Linked DNA regions of Xenopus tropicalis. The main gene of each other region encodes a partner of the protein of the gene in region 2 in a complex. Links are inferred from orthologs where the notes say so. Each region holds a gene or a part of one and is shown on either strand. Other genes may lie near its edges.

Region 1 (5,663 bases), on a different chromosome or scaffold from region 2:
ATGCCAATGAGCTCATGTTGGAAAAAAATCCATGAGGAAAGAAAGCAAATTGGTTATGGCTCATATCAAGGTAATGTAATGTGGAGAGATTGCTGTGTATATCATCACTCCAAAGGTCAACTGTAGTGACAGATGTGATGTTATTTTCTACAATCAGAAAATCAGCCCTGGAGGTGTTTGTACCAAAAATGTCACCATAGAACCTCATCCTGTTATTGGAGAGCAGCAACGTATGCAGACGATGTTGCCTGGGCAAAAGTGGGAAGAAGAGCAGCTGGTTGTTGGAAATGTCCAATATCTCCAGGTGGAACTCAACATCAGTCTCTTGTGATTGGAACCATTCAAGGTTGTTGAAGCTTAAATTGAGCATCTGAATTTGTGTTAGTCTAAAGTCGCCAATGCATGGCAATAGGTTATAAGCCAAATCTAGTTTCTTCAATTTCACAAGTCCCTCAAATGTACCATCTTCAATTTCATAAATGTAGTTCCACTGCAAACTTAACTCCTTCAGATGAACTAGGCCCTCAAACACAGTTTGGTCCAAGCGCATGATAATATTGTTATCCAAAAAAAGCCTTTCAAGGGATGTTAAGTTCTGATGAAGAACTGATACCATATCCATTGTAAGCATATTCCTAGACAAATCCAGTTCTTTAAGGGATGGGGTCAGTCTTAAAGCTGCGGATGTTAATTCATATTCCATAGATATAGTGTTGTTCTGTAGTGAGAGGACTTTCAGGCTCCTAATGCCATTAAAGGCTCCTGGCTCCACAAATTCCATTCGATTAGATCGCAAGCTAAGGTTTGTTAAGTCATGATATCTTAGAAAGGAGTTTTTATGCAGAAACCTTATTTGATTGAAATCTAGAAGCAGCTCTTGAATATCAGTAGGTAGGTTCTGAGGAACTGACAAAAGCTGTAAATGGCTACAATCCGCAACCCTGTAAAACTGAAACAATAACAGCATGTTACCAAATGCAAGCAGGTCTGAAAGAGAATGTATGGATAGAGTGCAAGATAAATCTTCTTCTGTTCTGTAAAAATGTTTATTAGAAGGCAAATACATTGTAAAACTTACCAGTTTGCAGCCACTTTCGGTAGACAATTTGCCTTCAGCACCATTATATTTCCATTGTAATGTTAAGTACATGAAAGCCAATAGAAGCCAAAAGAACACATTGGCCATAGCATTAAAATCGTTCCTAAAGGAAACACAGAAAATACAGTCATGTGATTTAATTTCAGCTGTAATGATTCCTGCTTCACCCACAGCACTGTAAAGCTGGCCATACACGCACCAATATAATCCTACAAAATGTAGTTTTGTGCGATTTTCGGACTGTGTGTGAACTCCAAATTATCCTCTCAACATTTTTTATGTAATAGCAATTGGTTGTTTAATTAATCAGATCAGGTTAGAAAATTTTGGCCAGATAACAATAATATTTGTGCATGTTTTGTGTATCTGACAGTCTCCTTGGCTGACCTACAATATATTTCTGGGACATAACTTTCGTACGATTGTTGTCTGCCAATTTATGGTCAGAACATTGTCCAGTTTGTTATTTTGAGTATTTTTATACTACAATTTCAATCTTTGTTTTAGGTTGTTGTACTAAAATGCACAGTTGATATCCAAATGTTTGTGTAAGCCTAATAAAATCTAAATGTGCCTAGAAAGGTTATTACCCCCCTGCTTTCCAAAGATTTTGTGATCTCCAGATGTACTATATAAAGATATTAATGTCAGCCCTTTTCTAAACCTGTGTATTATAGAGAATAACATTTCCCTGTATTTAATTGAAACTATCCCAATATTTGAAGGACACGTGAAATGCTACACATTTTCTCCTAAATAGATACAGGCACAAATCCATACCTCCCAATTGTCTCAAGTAATGGACATCAAAAGGGGTGGGCTTACCAGAAATTGGTCGGGGCATTTGGGATATCTGGAGAGTGTGTGGGTGTGACTAAGGCAGATCAGGGCCATGGCCTAAAATTGTCCCTTTTTTTCAAATGTAGCAAATCAATATTTACCTTTATGGTGTAGTACACACCAGCACTCAAACTCTAGTTTATCAGCTCTCACAGTATTACCTCTAAGGGCAGTGGTACAAGTAGAGATTAGTCGCCCGTGTTAAATCTTCATTACTGCGGGCGACTAATCTCCTTGACATCCCACCAGCAAGAATGTAAATCGCTGGTGGGATGGCATACGTGTCGCTTTGGTTTCACAAAGACGCCCGAAGTTGCCTCTCAAGGAAACTTTGCGCAACTTCGGGAAACCGAAGCGTATGCCATCACACTTGGAGATTGACATTCTTGCCAGTGGAATGGCATGGCAGGGAGATTAGTCTCCCGCAGTAACGAAGATTTATCGCGGGGCGACTAATCTCCTCGTGTGCGACTGCCCTAAGGGCCCTGACACATGAGGAGATTAGTTGTCTGTGACAAATCAGAGAGTTGGTAAGCTAGAAAGTGAGTGCTGGTGTGTGTGAGTTCTACCCCATGAAGGTGAATATTGATTTACTCCAACATTTATATTTGAAAAAGAGGGACAATTTAGGCCATACCCCTGATCTGCCCTAGTCACACCAAGACACTCTCCAGATATGCCAGATGCCTCAACCAGTTTCCCATGTCCATTTAACCTCTTCCATATAGTCAATATATATGGCTTACTATTAAACTTGCGTTATATTCTGCATTTTTAAAGAAATGTCCTGCTATTAAAGCAGCTATATATTGAGGTGTAGTTTACAGTATACTATATATATGTATATATATATATATATATATATATGTGTGTGTGTGTTTATAATTAGTGAGGGTGAGGATATATTATATTGTGTACTCACTATTATATATTTTCAGTATATACACCAAGAATGTCCAACCTGCAGGCCACCAGCTGTTTTTAAAGAGCAATTGAGCATCTCTCTGGGAGTTGTAGTTAATAACTGTAGAAGGGATACAAGCTGGACATCCCTTCTTTTTCCTCTCAGATGGGGTCCCCAGCTTATTTGCATTGTCAATCACTCCTTATTCCATGTCTATGTTGAGGCTGGGGCTAAATACTTAATATGGGGTTTCTGACTTGGATCTATTGTACTATAATTCCTCTCACCCCCATCACAGTCTTCAGATTCCAGGTTAAATGGCTTTATGGAATTGCTAAAAAACATTGTGTATTACAAATTGTAATAATTTGTTAATTAATCTGGGTATTTTGAGGCTGAGGCTAGGGGCCTATAGCCGATACCCTCTTTGTCTCATCTCAAACTAGCAGTGGATGTTTATTGCTATAATGTGTTGGGACACTGCAGACATTTTGCAAAGAAAAGGATTGTGCTTTCAGCAATCCATGTTAGAAGTGATGCTATTCCGTGCCAGTGGCTGTACGGTATGTGAAAGTATTGTGTTAGTGCATCTTTTGGGGTTTTCTAGCCCACACTCAAAAGAACCCACAACCAGAAACAGAGCCACTTACCGCACTTAGATGAGCGCATAGCATCATGGGTATCACTTCAGCTGACAGGATCCAAAATTGAGGACTTTACGTTTTGTACCAACACTGGAAAGAAACATAGGATTCTCTGAAAAATAAAGTCACCAATATGAGCCAAGGTTGCATGGCGATCAAAGAGAAAGGGCGCAGTAATAACTCAAATACATTTCAGCTGGGTCACTAGGTCAGAACGGAAACCTGTTTGTAAAATCAAACTAGCAATGACTAGAAGGGCAGATGAGGTGCACATGGTGAAGCCGCAGTGCAGGTGACTAACCAAAAGTCAGCGTAGGCTCACAACTCACATTAAGAAATGAAGCCGGTCACTTGGATGTGAGGCGCAGTGTCAGTGCGGTGAGCTGGGCACATGTGCATCCTGAAACAACTCAGCAGCTTCTTCTCTCTCTTTTTTTCTTCCTTCTAGAGGTTATTTTAGATCTTGCGGAAGGAAATAACGGAAGCTAAAGTCACATGAAGCGCTGGGCCAGCACAGAGAGATAAAAAACCCTTCAGAGTAGTCACCAGTCTGTACATCAGTTTCTGATAGTTCTTCTTTTACTTTATTTCATCTCAATTCCAGTTTAGTAACATCCCAAACTCTCTTTCTTGGGGGGGGGGGGGGGGCAGGGAGAAAGGCAAGATATGACCACAAATTTATAAGGCATTTATTTTATATGCAAGTTTATCATGGTGAAATGATTCAGTTATTGTTTAAAATGCAAGTGGGGCTGGTGTGAACATTATTTACTACATACACATACATTTATGCAGTAGGACCACCACCTAATAAGTGATCCCAAATGTTCATGCCTGGACCTTATTCTTTCATACTTTATACTTTTATGCTGGACTTAAATAAGAGTGGACCACTGGAAAGCAGAAAAGGCTGAAGATGAGTATTTAGTCCTTTAAGTATTCAAAAAATCCTTAGGAGGGTGGAGGTTTCCCCATCCCCATCTTTTTTATTACTTGGTATTTATATAGCGCCAACAGATTATACTTCATTCACATCAGCTCTTGCCCCGATGGATACGGTACCTATCACATTTACATACAGTTGCTCCAATTTATTAGAATACAATTAACCTGCCTGAATGTATTGAGAGTGTCGGAGGGAACCAGAATGCCTGGAGCAAACCCACACAGATATGGGGAGAACATACAAACTCCTTTTCCATCTACGAAAGACAGACCCTGGGGGAACATATGTAAAAGTATCAGGTTGGAAAGCCTTTCCTCCGGCACTATGGTGAGGGTGACACAGAGAATTGTGTGTAATGCCTGTCTAAACTGTGTTGCAGGCATCAACATTGCCATAGATTGAAAGGTGGAACCATTGTAGGTAAACATTTTTCAGATATAATTTTAGCGCAGAAGAAGATGTCATTTTAATTAGCGTGTTAGGAGTAATGCATGTCATTCTAGTCCTACAATAATACAAGTTTAATTTTCTAATCCCTAAAAATGGACTAATAGAAATGTATTTATATTATAGTAATTAACGAGAACTACCACCCGAAAACAGTTATTTTTTGTTGCATAATGGAAGAAAATCATAAGCACATTTCCAATATACAGTGCATGGGCAGAAAAACAGATACTGCTTACAATTGCAATTGCATCTGCATCTCGGTGACAACGGAAGACAAGTTTATATTTCTTATGCTTATGTTTCGCAGCTTGTCTGTGACTTTTACCCAACATTCTATACACAAGCAGGAGACCAAGTGCCAATAGACAAATGCGGAATTTGATGCTGTTTGTGTATTTCCCAAACTCTGGCTCCATCTTGTACGTCTAGCCTCACTGAAAATGCCAGAAATTCACTATCCACACCTTGCCTAGGGGGCTCTGCAATGCAATGACTGCAATCAGCAGTTTCTTTGCACACTGCTTTCCCCTGTTCCTGTGTATTTATGAGGGCAGGAGGGGGAAGGCCCAACACTGTGCCTCATTCAGATGCCCAATCTGCAACAGGGCCTTACTTTCTTCCCTATAGAGAGAGTGACCCCCTCTTACATCAGATCCTTCTAATGCCAATGCCAATCCAATGTTTTGGGTCGACTTTAGCAGGACTAATCAGTAGAGCTCCCTACATCTGTACCACATTTTTTTAACTAATGGCTGTCCTGCTGATTGAGATTAGAGACTG
Region 2 (5,601 bases):
CATCTGCACACAACTGCATGACATCTTATGGGATGCTACAACATCTGACCCTCCCTGCTGTAATGAGACTGATCAGATATATTTAGATGTTTTTTTGTTTTCCATGCATCTACATCCAAAAATAAATGTATGCCAATGATACACAAAAGTCTATCCCCCATAAATACTTGGATAAAAATGCATCAGTTCAACAGTCATGTTGGGTCGGAGGGGGCAGAGCTTTCATGTAATTTACAGATCTGATTTTAGTATCAATTACATTATTTTAGACATGTACAACTACATCTGGTATTTAGAATGTGATCTGTCACTGTAAGATCCAACCAAAGCTTTCATGTAGCTTGGCCCTTAATGTTACCGTTCATAATATTATTAAAATTAGGTAAAGGGGAAACATACATATACTTTGCACCCCTCAGGGTTTTTGTCATTGACAATTACTGTTTTTTCTAGAAGGAAGAAGAGCAAAGAAAGACTGGCGGACAGTTAACTATCAATGGAAACAGCACTGTCAGGTTAGAGAAGAAAGTTATAGGAATAACCAGGATATGTGAGAGGAGCATTAGTGAAGTGTCAGGAAAATGTAGCAGAAAAGAATGGGCAGTAATGGACAGTAGCAGAGAGAAGCAAAGGAAAAGAAGTGATAAAATCAGGGGGAGCAGGAAACAGTGGGAGTGGGAGGAATGGAACCACCTTCTAGAGAAACAGAAGGGGTAGGAGGAAAATGAAAGGAATAAACATATACAAAGAGTGATGAAGACAGTGGTAGTGATACACTGAAGGGTCAGTGGGATAATAGTAGGGAAAAGCTAAGGAGGAAACTGGGCAAAGGCAAAGAGAAGCAGAGAAACAGACTGGCCTGCGACTGTGTAACTGTGAATAATTTGGTTGAATTTCCTAAATTTTTACAGCAAGTTTTTTAAAGTTACACTGCTCCTTACAATGGAATAAAGCCAATTTCTATAAGAACAAGACAAGAGCTGAAACAGGTCACCTAGGAAGCTAGAATGTGGGGAGCCCAAAGCAAATTGGAGCCAGCAATCCTTTAGATACAGGGCAACCGAAATACTCAACAGGTTTCATGCACAGTATTCTAAGCCATTTCTCAGCTAGTCCTCAACTTCATTTACAAATAAATTTTAGGTGTCCAATTCTGTGTCTTTTTGGCCTGGTACTGAAAATGCTATGCTAATGCTGGAGTCACTGACCCCAACAACCAAAAACAGGCTGACTGTGCAGTTTCAGTTACACTCTTATTCTTTACATTTTATATCTTTCTATTCAGGCTATATCCATGTCCAAGTATATGTCTTTTGAGTGTTGTATGTGCTCATGCATGTCTATACACATGTCCAGTTCCCTCTGGGTGCAATCCTGAATAATAATATAGCTGAAAGTGCAGAATTCATTCCGCTAAGACCATAATTGTTCTCATTCCTGTTATTAAGTGGAGTCTCTTAAGCTACAGTAAATAATGAATTATCTCTGCTCAGAAAAGCATCCTTGAAATTACTAGCTGCTAAGCTGCCCTCTAGCTATTGTATTGTCACAGAATAGGTGACAGCATCTTCCCTATTTTGTTACCAGTGTTCATCTGAACTGACAGGCATAAGGTGTTCTCATTACCTGGCTTTTTCTTTCATAGTATCATATTGCAAGGCATTGCACAAAAAAGATACTGAAAGGAATCAGGAAAGGAAATAGAGCTCAAAGCAGCTCAATTATTTATGATGGGTGCAGTTTGCTCCTACTAAGTTGCAACCCCTTAAGATTTTGTGGACAAGTTAATAAATACAACATTTGATCTGGAATAATTTATTAACTTGCCTGCATAGCTATGCAGGAGCAACACTAGCAACCTGAGTGCTCTACCTATGGCACATTGTGCTGGCCTTGCACACTAACCACAAAGCTCAATGTTAGAAGGGCACCAAGGGAATATCTCTCAAGTCACAAGTAATGATGCCCTCCAGCCTACCCCCATTCACATCAAGTCAAGTAAAAGCAAAGTGACTGGTATGCCTGGGAATTATCTGTTCATAAATGAGCTCACCAATCTGAAACGAGAGTGGGGAAAACCTAAAAGCTACAAGAAACCACATGGCTGATTTATAAATTCAAAGTTGCTAAATTGCACCAGTGCAGTTGCGATTAGCACCCTGGGAAATAAAAGCAAATACCTAGTTGCTACTGGGAACTGCATTAATGTAAATTAGCACCTATGTTTTTGGTAAGTAAGCCCTCACTTCTTTACAGAAACAGAATTGTAATAGATGTTAGGCACTCAGTAAACTAATAACTGTCAGTATCCTAATGTAATGGTAATGTCACACACAACATTCTGTAGTGAATATGGCACACATGCAGAACTATCACTAGAAAACATGGGGACAAGGGCATTTGCATTTTTGGGTGATAATATTGCTTGTTTGTCATGATCTTAGAAGATTTCACTTTAAAAGGCTGGCAATCTATCATGTTTCTACGGATTGACAACACTTTACCTGCAGAAAAGAAATACCTTTGGCATTACCATAAATCAGTTCTTGAGTCCTCAGTACATCAGAACACTTTGAGTTATAGTTCAACAAGAGATGGAAAACTTCTTTGGTATTTCTGCTTAGCCATATAAACTACTAATGCTGGGACATTATTTAGAATTTCAAACGTAGCTTTAAATCACTCACCATTTATGCTTTCGAACCTGTGAACTTGTTTTGCGTAATAATCCTGTATGTTGTGCTCTTGCCACACAGGAGCTTCTTCTTTGGCTGCTCTTTCTCTGATCACCTCCAAGGTGCTATTGTAAAGGGAGATGGCTTCACTCGGCACTGTCATGTTCTCACTGTCTACATCTGGTGTTCTGTCCAGTTTTAGTTTGCTGAGAATTTGCCCCCTGATGGCTTCAATTCTTCTCTTTCTGACTTCTTCCATATCCACAGTCTTACAGGTAGACATGGACATAGTTAAAGTGGAAAGATGCAGCACCAACAGCACCGGCAGCATCCAAAGAACCTCCATAATGCAGTGTTCCACGACAAAAGTCAAGTAGCTCTGGATTGTAGGTTTTTAGGATGGCTTCCTTTTATTTATATGTCCTTCAGCAGTCTCAGCACCAGCTCAGATTGACTTACAGTCAGTTTAAACGCCCTAATTCATTGTATGTGCTGCGCTCAGAGTACCATGTGCCGGCCTAAAAATAAAGAGGAGAGGTTTTGCTGCCACCATTAAATGAAAACATAATTACAACTGGAACACTGTGTGACTATGTTAAAGAGATGGAACGGTCTCTTGGTGAGAAAAGCTGAAAGCAGTTCTGAAAGTTGCTGTCCCGTCTTCATGAAGCAGTGGCATTGAGCAGTGTGGGAGATCCTGGTTGGCTTCCAGAGCTTATAGAATATGTGCCTTGTATGCAGTCAACTCCCCCCCTCTAAATGTAATTTGACGGCCCTTGTAACCCTGCTTGCTAGAACATGATTCTCACCGTCCCCCTCTTGGCTTCCTCCTGTGTGCTGTAACTTAAAGCTCCACCCAGGATATGGGAGATAAAATACTCTCAACACACACACACTGAAATGGTTTAGGGAAATGCTCTTACGCTTTGGGGTGGAGAGCACTACATAGTAAGCCCTATCCTTTTTCCCTCCCTCTCAAACAAATCTTTCATGCCTGAGCTAATTATTGGTTTCATCTTTAAATATAAGGCATTAACTAAATCTATATAAACTTTAAAAAGAATTAGTGATGGTGTTTGGACCAGCAGAACTACAGCAATGTAGTCATCCAGCACCTCCTTTTCTATTCTATTTCTAACATTGTTTCTGCAAAAATACTGGCTTTGTTTCTACAATCTTTAGGTTACATACAGAGCAGAGTCTTAGTATTCTTAAAACTTACCCTAAACAGAAGTTGTGAATATATTTTCTATTGGTAACAGAAACAACTCCAAATGTTTAAGTTACAGACAACATTGTGCAGACAATACAAGTATAGGTAATGACAGACTCCACATTAAATATTTCCTTCAGAAATTAGATATGTGAAAACAGTTGAAGGTATGCCTGCTCTGCTGTAGTACCAAAACAGACAGACTGCAATGTGTAGCTGTCCCAGTTGCTACATTCAATAGGCCAGCTATTTGCAGTACTGCTATGTATGTGATGTACATGTAAGCAATAAAAGCTGGAGTATATACAGTGGTGGGCAGGATTATACAAGGGTTGGTCTTGGGTTGGGTATGGGCGGGTTTAGGTCAGTGCAAAGGGGGTAGCAAAATGGAAGCTTATATGAAGCTCTAGAATGAGAATTCATAAGGAGATTATATACTAAGCAAATTATACTGTAAAATTATAAGATAAAATAGTAGGAAATATAGCAAATAGCAATGCCTAAATTAGGTGTAGGAAGGGGAGGCAGGAGCCTTGGGTGCATTATTAGAAGGTTGCAATATTAATAAAAATGTCTGCACGTTTGTAAAATTACATATTTCCTACTTATCTCCATGCCCTAAATCCTCTACCTGCTACTTTACTCAGATGTGCTTTCTGTATAAGAAGAGATAGTGCTGCACTATATCAAATAATCAGAGCAATCTCTTCCCAAACAGCTTGTATACAGGTAAAAGGTTTATCCAAATGTAAAATAACAGCGGCAACTACAGAGGAGGTGATTTTAGAAATAGTGTGGGGTAGTGGAGAGGGGGGAGGTGAGGGGGCACATGTGTCTAGGGTCTGGCAAAATGTATCCAACAGAGTAATAAATGGCATTTTACTATCTGAAAGTCGGACAGACTGTGTTTGGAGGATGCTAGGAAAATACTACCTTTATGAATGTACAGTGGTGTGAAAAACTATTTGCCCCCTTCCTGATTTCTTATTCTTTTGCATGTTTGTCACACTTAAATGTTTCTGCTCATCAAACACATTTAACTATTAGTCAAAGATAACACAAGTAAACACAAAATGCAGTTTTTAAATTAGGGTTTTTATTATTTAGAGAGAAAAAAAATCCAAACCTACATGGCCCTGTGTGAAAAAGTAATTGCCCCCTGAACCTAATAACTGGTTGGGCCACCCTTAGCAGCAATAACTGCAATCAAGCATTTGCGATAACTTGCAACGAGTCTTTTACAGCGCTCTGGAGGAATTTTGGCCCACTCATCTTTGCAGAATTGTTGTAATTCAGCTTTGTTTGAGGGTTTTCTCGCATGAACCGCCTTTTTAAGGTCATGCCACAACATCTCAATAGGATTCAGGTCAGGACTTTGACTAGGCCACTCCAAAGTCTTCATTTTGTTTTTCTTCAGCCATTCAGAGGTGGATTTGCTGGTGTGTTTTGAGTCATTGTCCTGCTGCAGCACCCAAGATCGCTTCAGCTTGAGTTGACGAACAGATGGCCGGACATTCTCCTTCAGGATTTTTTGGTAGACAGTAGAATTCATGGTTCCATCTATCACAGCAAGCCTTCCAGGTCCTGAAGCAGCAAAACAACCCCAGACCATCACACTACCACCACCATATTTTACTGTTGGTATGATGTTCTTTTTCTGAAATGCTGTGTTACTTTTACGCCAGATGTAACGGGACACGCACCTTCCAAAAA
Region 3 (5,747 bases), on a different chromosome or scaffold from region 2:
CAGGAGTCAGACCCAGAGAACAGGGATAAACAAACCCCTACTGGGGCTGCAGCAGCCGGGGCTCCCATAGGGCACAAACCCAACCCCGGGTCTGAGTATTTGTGCTGCCGCTGCCGTGGAGATGCACTTTAACCATGTACCGTCCCATGGATATTGGGTTTTCTCTGTGTAGAGTGTAAGCTCTTTTGGGCAGGGCTCCCTTCCCCTCCTGTATCGGTTACTGATTGCTTTATATGTTACTCTGTATGCCCAATGTATGAAATGCAGTAATTCCTTGTAGAGTGTAAGCTCTTTTGGGCAGGGCTCCCTTCCCCTCCTGTATCGGTTACTGATTGCTTTATATGTTACTCTGTATGCCCAATGTATGAAATGCAGTAATTCCTTGTAGAGTGTAAGCTCTTTTGGGCAGGGCTCTCTTCCCCTCCTGTATCGGTTACTGATTGCTTTATATGTTACTCTGTATGCCCAATGTATGAAATGCAGTAATTCCTTGTAGAGTGTAAGCTCTTTTGGGCAGGGCTCCCTTCCTCTCCTGTATCGGTTACTGATTGCTGTATATGTTACTCTGTATGCCCAATGTATGGAACCCACTTATTGTACAGCGCTGCGGGATATGTTGGCGCTTTATAAATAAATGTTAATAATAATAATAATAATAATATTTCCAGTATTTAATTTCTCTCTGGTTTCCAGGACGCTGGACCCTAGCAACATAAACACATAAGCCAGCTCAAAATAAAACTGGAAAGTCTGAGAGCAGATCAAGGGGAAATGATTTTTCTCAATTTTATAATGTCTTTTTTGACATGTAAAGGGGTAAATTCACTTTTAGTAGGATGTAGGTGAGTGATATTCTGAGATAATTTGCAATTGGTCTTCATTTTTTTTGATTATTGGTGGTTTTTGAAATATTTAGCTTTTTGTTCACCAGTACTCTAATATAGAATTTTAGCAGCTCTCTGGTTGCTAGGGATCAAAATACCCTAACGACCAGCCAGTAGGTTAAATATAAAACTGAAATATGAATGGGGGAGGGGCTGAATAGAAAGATAAGGAATAAAAAGTAACAATAACAATAAAACTGGAGACTCACAGAGCAATAGGGTTTGGCTGCCGGGGTCAGTGACCCCCATTTGAAAGCAGAAGAAGAAGGCAAATAATTCAAAAACAATAAAAGATAAAAAATGAAGACCAATTGAAAAGTTCCTAAGAACTGACCATTCTATAACATACTAAAAGTTAACTCAAAGGTGAATGAACCCCAAAAAATTAACTGAAGGAAACCTGGTCAAAAAAAGTCCTCTGGGCACTTGTGAACTTTCATTTATTTTTTTCTATTATTAGTGGTTTCTGAGACATTAGCACTTTTAGACTGCTAATAACAGGCTTAAGGCTTAACAGCCCTCTTTAAAGTATCAGCAACCCTCAGGGTCGGACCGGGCAAGTGGGACACTGGGAAAAAATCCAGTGGACCTTGCCAACCCAGAACCAATCCCCACTGGGAAGCATCAGCGCCTTACCACTAACTTGTGCCAAGGGGGGGGGGGGGGGGGGGGGTGGTTGGGAGGCAGGGCCCCCGGGGGGCCCATAGGGTGGCAGCCCAGTTTCTGTATTCAGTTAATCCTAGCGTCACTGACTCTCAGATGATCCAAACTCCTGATATTAGCAGTCTAAAACTGCAAAGTCCCAGAAACCACTTCAATTAGAAAATGAATACTAGCAGCCCGTGTAAGTGAACTTTATTTAATTGTTTGTGTTTAGATTGGCCCCGTGCTGCTCCCCCATAGGTGCCCAGCCCCAGACATTAACCCTATCAATCCCTCATTCCCAGGCTCCTCCTTCCCAACCTCCCCTGAGGGGTCACCTAAAGAATAGCTTATCATTGGCTCATCTTTGTAGGGTTAAAACATGGCCGCATCTTGATCAGCAGCAGCCCTGGGCCAGTGATTGGCTAACAGGGGGGATCAGCAGTGCCTTGCTGCCTGTTGCTTTCTGCTCTGCCGGTTCTGACTTTAAACAATGTAGCAGAAGTTGGACCTCCTCCAGCCCAGACTCCATTTCTTGCTCTGCCTTTTGTGTTTCTTTACATGTCAGTTACACTATTCAGAACCGCCAGTGCATAGAGCAGTAAGGGAGTAGGAAACGGGCCGGTACTGAGTGTTTCCTTTTCTTTCTTCTTCAAAGAGTCCATATGATTGGCTAATTGGGATCCGCTCTCTTAATTGGGGATTTTGCTTTAATCTTGAACTTCCACCCCCGGAACAAAACTGCATTTATGTTTATTAATCAGCCTCTGACAACATTTAGTCTCGGCTAATGGCTCTCAGTCCATCAACTGCCGGTACTGACTAATGGCAGCTCATCTGCACCGACTGAACTCCCTCAGATTAAAGACAAGTGAGTATATAGCCTATTGTGTGCCCAGAGCATTCCTTCTCTGTATATTTGTATTTATACATATGGGTAGGAGGTGCCATAGTGTTTCCCTTAGACAGTACAGTATGGGGGTACAGCTTATTGTGTGCCCAGAACATTCCTTCTCTGTATATTTGTATTTATACATATGGGTAGGGGGTGCCATAGTGTTTCCCTTAGACAGTACAGTATGGGGGTACAGCTTATTGTGTGCCCAGAACATTCCTTCTCTGTATATTTGTATTTATACATATGGGTAGGAGGTGCCATAGTGTTTCCCTTAGACAGTACAGTATGGGGGTACAGCTTATTGTGTGCCCAGAACATTCCCTCTCTGTATATTTGTATTTATACATATGGGTAGGGGGTGCCATAGTGTTTCCCTTAGACAGTACAGTATGGGGGTACAGCTTATTGTGTGCCCAGAGCATTCCTTCTCTGTATATTTGTATTTATACATATGGGTAGGAGGTGCCATAGTGTTTCTCTTAGACAGTACAGTATGGGGGTACAGCTTATTGTGTGCCCAGAACATTCCTTCTCTGTATATTTGTATTTATACATATGGGTAGGGGGTGCCATAGTGTTTCCCTTAGACAGTACAGTATGGGGGTACAGCTTATTGTGAGCCCAGAAAATTCCTTCTCTGTATATTTGTATTTATACATATGGGTAGGGGGTGCCATAGTGTTTCCCTTAGACAGTACAGTATGGGGGTACAGCTTATTGTGTGCCCAGAGCATTCCTTCTCTGTATATTTGTATTTATACATATGGGTAGGAGGTGCCATAGTGTTTCTCTTAGACAGTACAGTATGGGGGTACAGCTTATTGTGTGCCCAGAACATTCCTTCTCTGTATATTTGTATTTATACATATGGGTAGGGGTGCCATAGTGTTTCCCTTAGACAGTACAGTATGGGGGTACAGCTTATTGTGAGCCCAGAAAATTCCTTCTCTGTATATTTGTATTTATACATATGGGTAGGGGGTGCCATAGTGTTTCCCTTAGACAGTACAGTATGGGGGTACAGCTTATTGTGTGCCCAGAACATTCCTTCTCTGTATATTTGTATTTATACATATGGGTAGGAGGTGCCATAGTGTTTCCCTTAGACAGTACAGTATGGGGGTACAGCTTATTGTGTGCCCAGAGCATTTCTTCTCTGTATATTTGTATTTATACATATGGGTAGGAGGTGCCATAGTGTTTCCCTTAGACAGTACAGTATGGGGGTACAGCTTATTGTGTGCCCAGAACATTCCTTCTCTGTATATTTGTATTTATACATATGGGTAGGGGGTGCCATAGTGTTTCCCTTAGACAGTACAGTATGGGGGTACAGCTTATTGTGTGCCCAGAGCCTTCCTTCCCTGCACCTCAAAAATCACATTTTTTTATATTCATTTTTGCAAATTGAACTTTTTAACAAAATTAATGATCCTGGACCCTCTCTGACTTCTATAGACGTAAACTTAATATTGGATTTTAATAATAAATAAATTCAATTTTTAAAAAGTAAAATGTTTTATTAGAAAATGACCAAACGATATATTTTTTTAGTTACAGAATAATTCAAACTACGAATGCAGGAAAGCCTTCCTGGTTGCTAGGGTAATTTGGACCCTAGCAACCAGATCGCTGCTAAAATTCCAAACTAAAGAACAAAAAGCTAAATAATTCAAAAACCATAAGTCGTAAAAAGTAATGACCAACTGCAAATGATCTCAGAATAATTTAAAGATAAACAACTCATTTACATGTCAAAAAAAAATTGAGAAAATTAATTTCCCCTCGACCTTTGTTTAATCTGCTCTCGGAGGTTTCAGTTTTATTTTGAGCTTCTGTCTGTCTGTAAAATGTCTTGGGGACACGTGGGGCCCCATAGAGTAACTGCCGTATAGAAAGAGATGATTTCACTGGGGTATCTAGGGCCCCCCTCCAGTCCCGAACCCACCCCTCCAGTGCAGTGCGTCTCTCTTATTTGGCTATTGGGGGATGAGGGAGGAGCAAGAGAAAGAGGGGGCGGGGCTAGGTCAGTGGGGCCCACAAGGGCCGGGGCCAACTGGGTGTTTTCACCATGTCTCGCTGGTCCAGTCCGACCCCGGACTCCTACCAACTCAGCAATACTCAGGTTTTCTCCCCAATTCTCACTCTGGTTTGGCCCCCCAACCCCTGCTCTGTGCCCACCTAGATGCCCCCCCCCGTGCAGTGCGTCTCTCTTATTTGGCTATTGGGGGATGAGGGAGGAGCAAGGGAGAGAGAGGGGAGTGGCTCGAGGTCAGTGGGGCCCACAAGGGCCGGGGCCAACTGGGTGTTTTCCTGGTGTCTCGCTGGTCCAGTCCAACCCCGGACTCCTACCAACTCAGCAATTGGTTTTCTCCCCAATTCTCACTCTGGTTTGGCCCCCCAACCCCTGCTCTATGCCCACCTAGATGCTCCCCCCCCCCCGCAGTGCGTCTCTCTTATTTGGCTATTGGGGGATGAGGGAGGAGCAAGAAAGAGAGGGGGTGGGGCTAGATCAGTGGGGCCCACAAGGGCCGGGCCCACTGGGTGTTTTCCCGGTGTCTCGTTGGTCCAGTCCGACCCCGGACTCCTACCAACTCAGCAATAGGTTTTCTCCCCAATTCTCACTCTGGTTTGGCCCCCCAACCCCTGCTCTGTGCCCACCTAGATGGGCCCCCCCGCCGTGCAGTGCGTCTCTCTTATTTGGCTATTGGGGGATGAGGGAGGAGCAAGAGAGAGAGGGGGTGGGGCTAGATCAGTGGGGCCCACAAGGGCCGGGGCCCGCTGGGTGTTTTCCCGGTGTCTCGCTGGTCCAGTCCGACCCCGGACTCCTACCAAATCAGCAATAGGTTTTCTCCCCAATTCTCACTCTTGTTTGGCCCCCCAACCCCTGCTCTGTGCCCACCTAGATGGGGCCCACCCCCCACAGTTTAGGGGCCGCTGCCAAAGGAAGTTGCGCAATGTTCGGATATACGGACAATGGAATTTTAGTAACAGATACAATTCTGAGAAATTAACCCTCCGAGTGCCGCTTGCAATGGTTTTGGGTCGAAAGGCAAAGGGAACACAGAGTCCGAAGAAATTAAAGGGTTAACAGCAAGGCAAATCCAGGAGGGATGGGACTGAGGGAGAATGGGGCGCAGTTCTATAGCAACGCGTATTTGGGTTAATCAGATCTGACTCCCCGAGTTCCCCCCGGTGCCTGACATCGCTGCCGAAGTATGTACTGAATGTAACCCCCATGGGCAACAGTAAGGCTGCATATGTTTGGCCCAGAATATTCATTTATTCCAGCGGCTGCGAGAACAAAGAGACCCATCAGTGAT

The links. Proteins that work in one complex are often made in the same cells at the same time.
Region 1: the proteins of tgfb1 (region 2) and nrros are in contact, whole or in part, in a cryo-EM structure (PDB 7Y1R), measured with the Homo sapiens proteins. The link is inferred for Xenopus tropicalis from reciprocal best matches to the Homo sapiens genes TGFB1 and NRROS. Residues at the interface, in NP_000651.3 of Homo sapiens: Leu30, Ser31, Thr32, Cys33, Thr35; in NP_940967.1 of Homo sapiens: Phe194, Glu195, Ile196, Glu197, Gly198, Gly199, Phe201, Leu210, Leu212, Pro218, Cys219, Ile220, Val221, Asp222, Phe223, Gly224, Leu225.
Region 3: the proteins of tgfb1 (region 2) and lrrc32.1 are in contact, whole or in part, in a cryo-EM structure (PDB 8VSC), measured with the Homo sapiens proteins. The link is inferred for Xenopus tropicalis from reciprocal best matches to the Homo sapiens genes TGFB1 and LRRC32. Residues at the interface, in NP_000651.3 of Homo sapiens: Leu30, Ser31, Thr32, Cys33, Lys34, Pro325, Pro327, Tyr328, Ile329, Trp330, Ser331, Leu332, Thr334, Gln335, Tyr336, Val339, Leu342, His346, Ala353, Pro354; in NP_001122394.1 of Homo sapiens: Ser135, Tyr137, Glu158, Ser160, Thr162, Val184, Met186, Asp187, Ile188, Glu189, Asp190, Phe193, Leu202, Leu204, Arg206, Asn207, Ser208, Leu209, Thr210, Cys211, Ile212, Ser213, Asp214, Phe215, Ser216, Leu217, Leu223, Leu225, Cys227, Ser229.

What each region holds. Positions count from the first base shown.
Region 1 is NC_030681.2:129,828,412-129,834,074, forward strand, and holds the start of nrros (negative regulator of reactive oxygen species precursor), read right to left. Parts: upstream 3,751-5,663; 5' UTR 3,494-3,750; intron 1,203-3,493; 5' UTR 1,187-1,202; coding exon 1,079-1,186; intron 950-1,078; coding exon 1-949. UniProt on the Homo sapiens protein: Key regulator of transforming growth factor beta-1 (TGFB1) specifically required for microglia function in the nervous system.
Region 2 is NC_030684.2:79,306,092-79,311,692, forward strand, and holds the start of tgfb1 (transforming growth factor beta-1 proprotein), read right to left. Parts: upstream 3,541-5,601; 5' UTR 3,022-3,540; coding exon 2,688-3,021; intron 1-2,687. UniProt on the Homo sapiens protein: Transforming growth factor beta-1 proprotein: Precursor of the Latency-associated peptide (LAP) and Transforming growth factor beta-1 (TGF-beta-1) chains, which constitute the regulatory and active subunit of TGF-beta-1, respectively.
Region 3 is NC_030678.2:173,452,268-173,458,014, reverse strand, and holds the start of lrrc32.1 (transforming growth factor beta activator LRRC32), read left to right. Parts: upstream 1-1,997; 5' UTR 1,998-2,397; intron 2,398-5,747.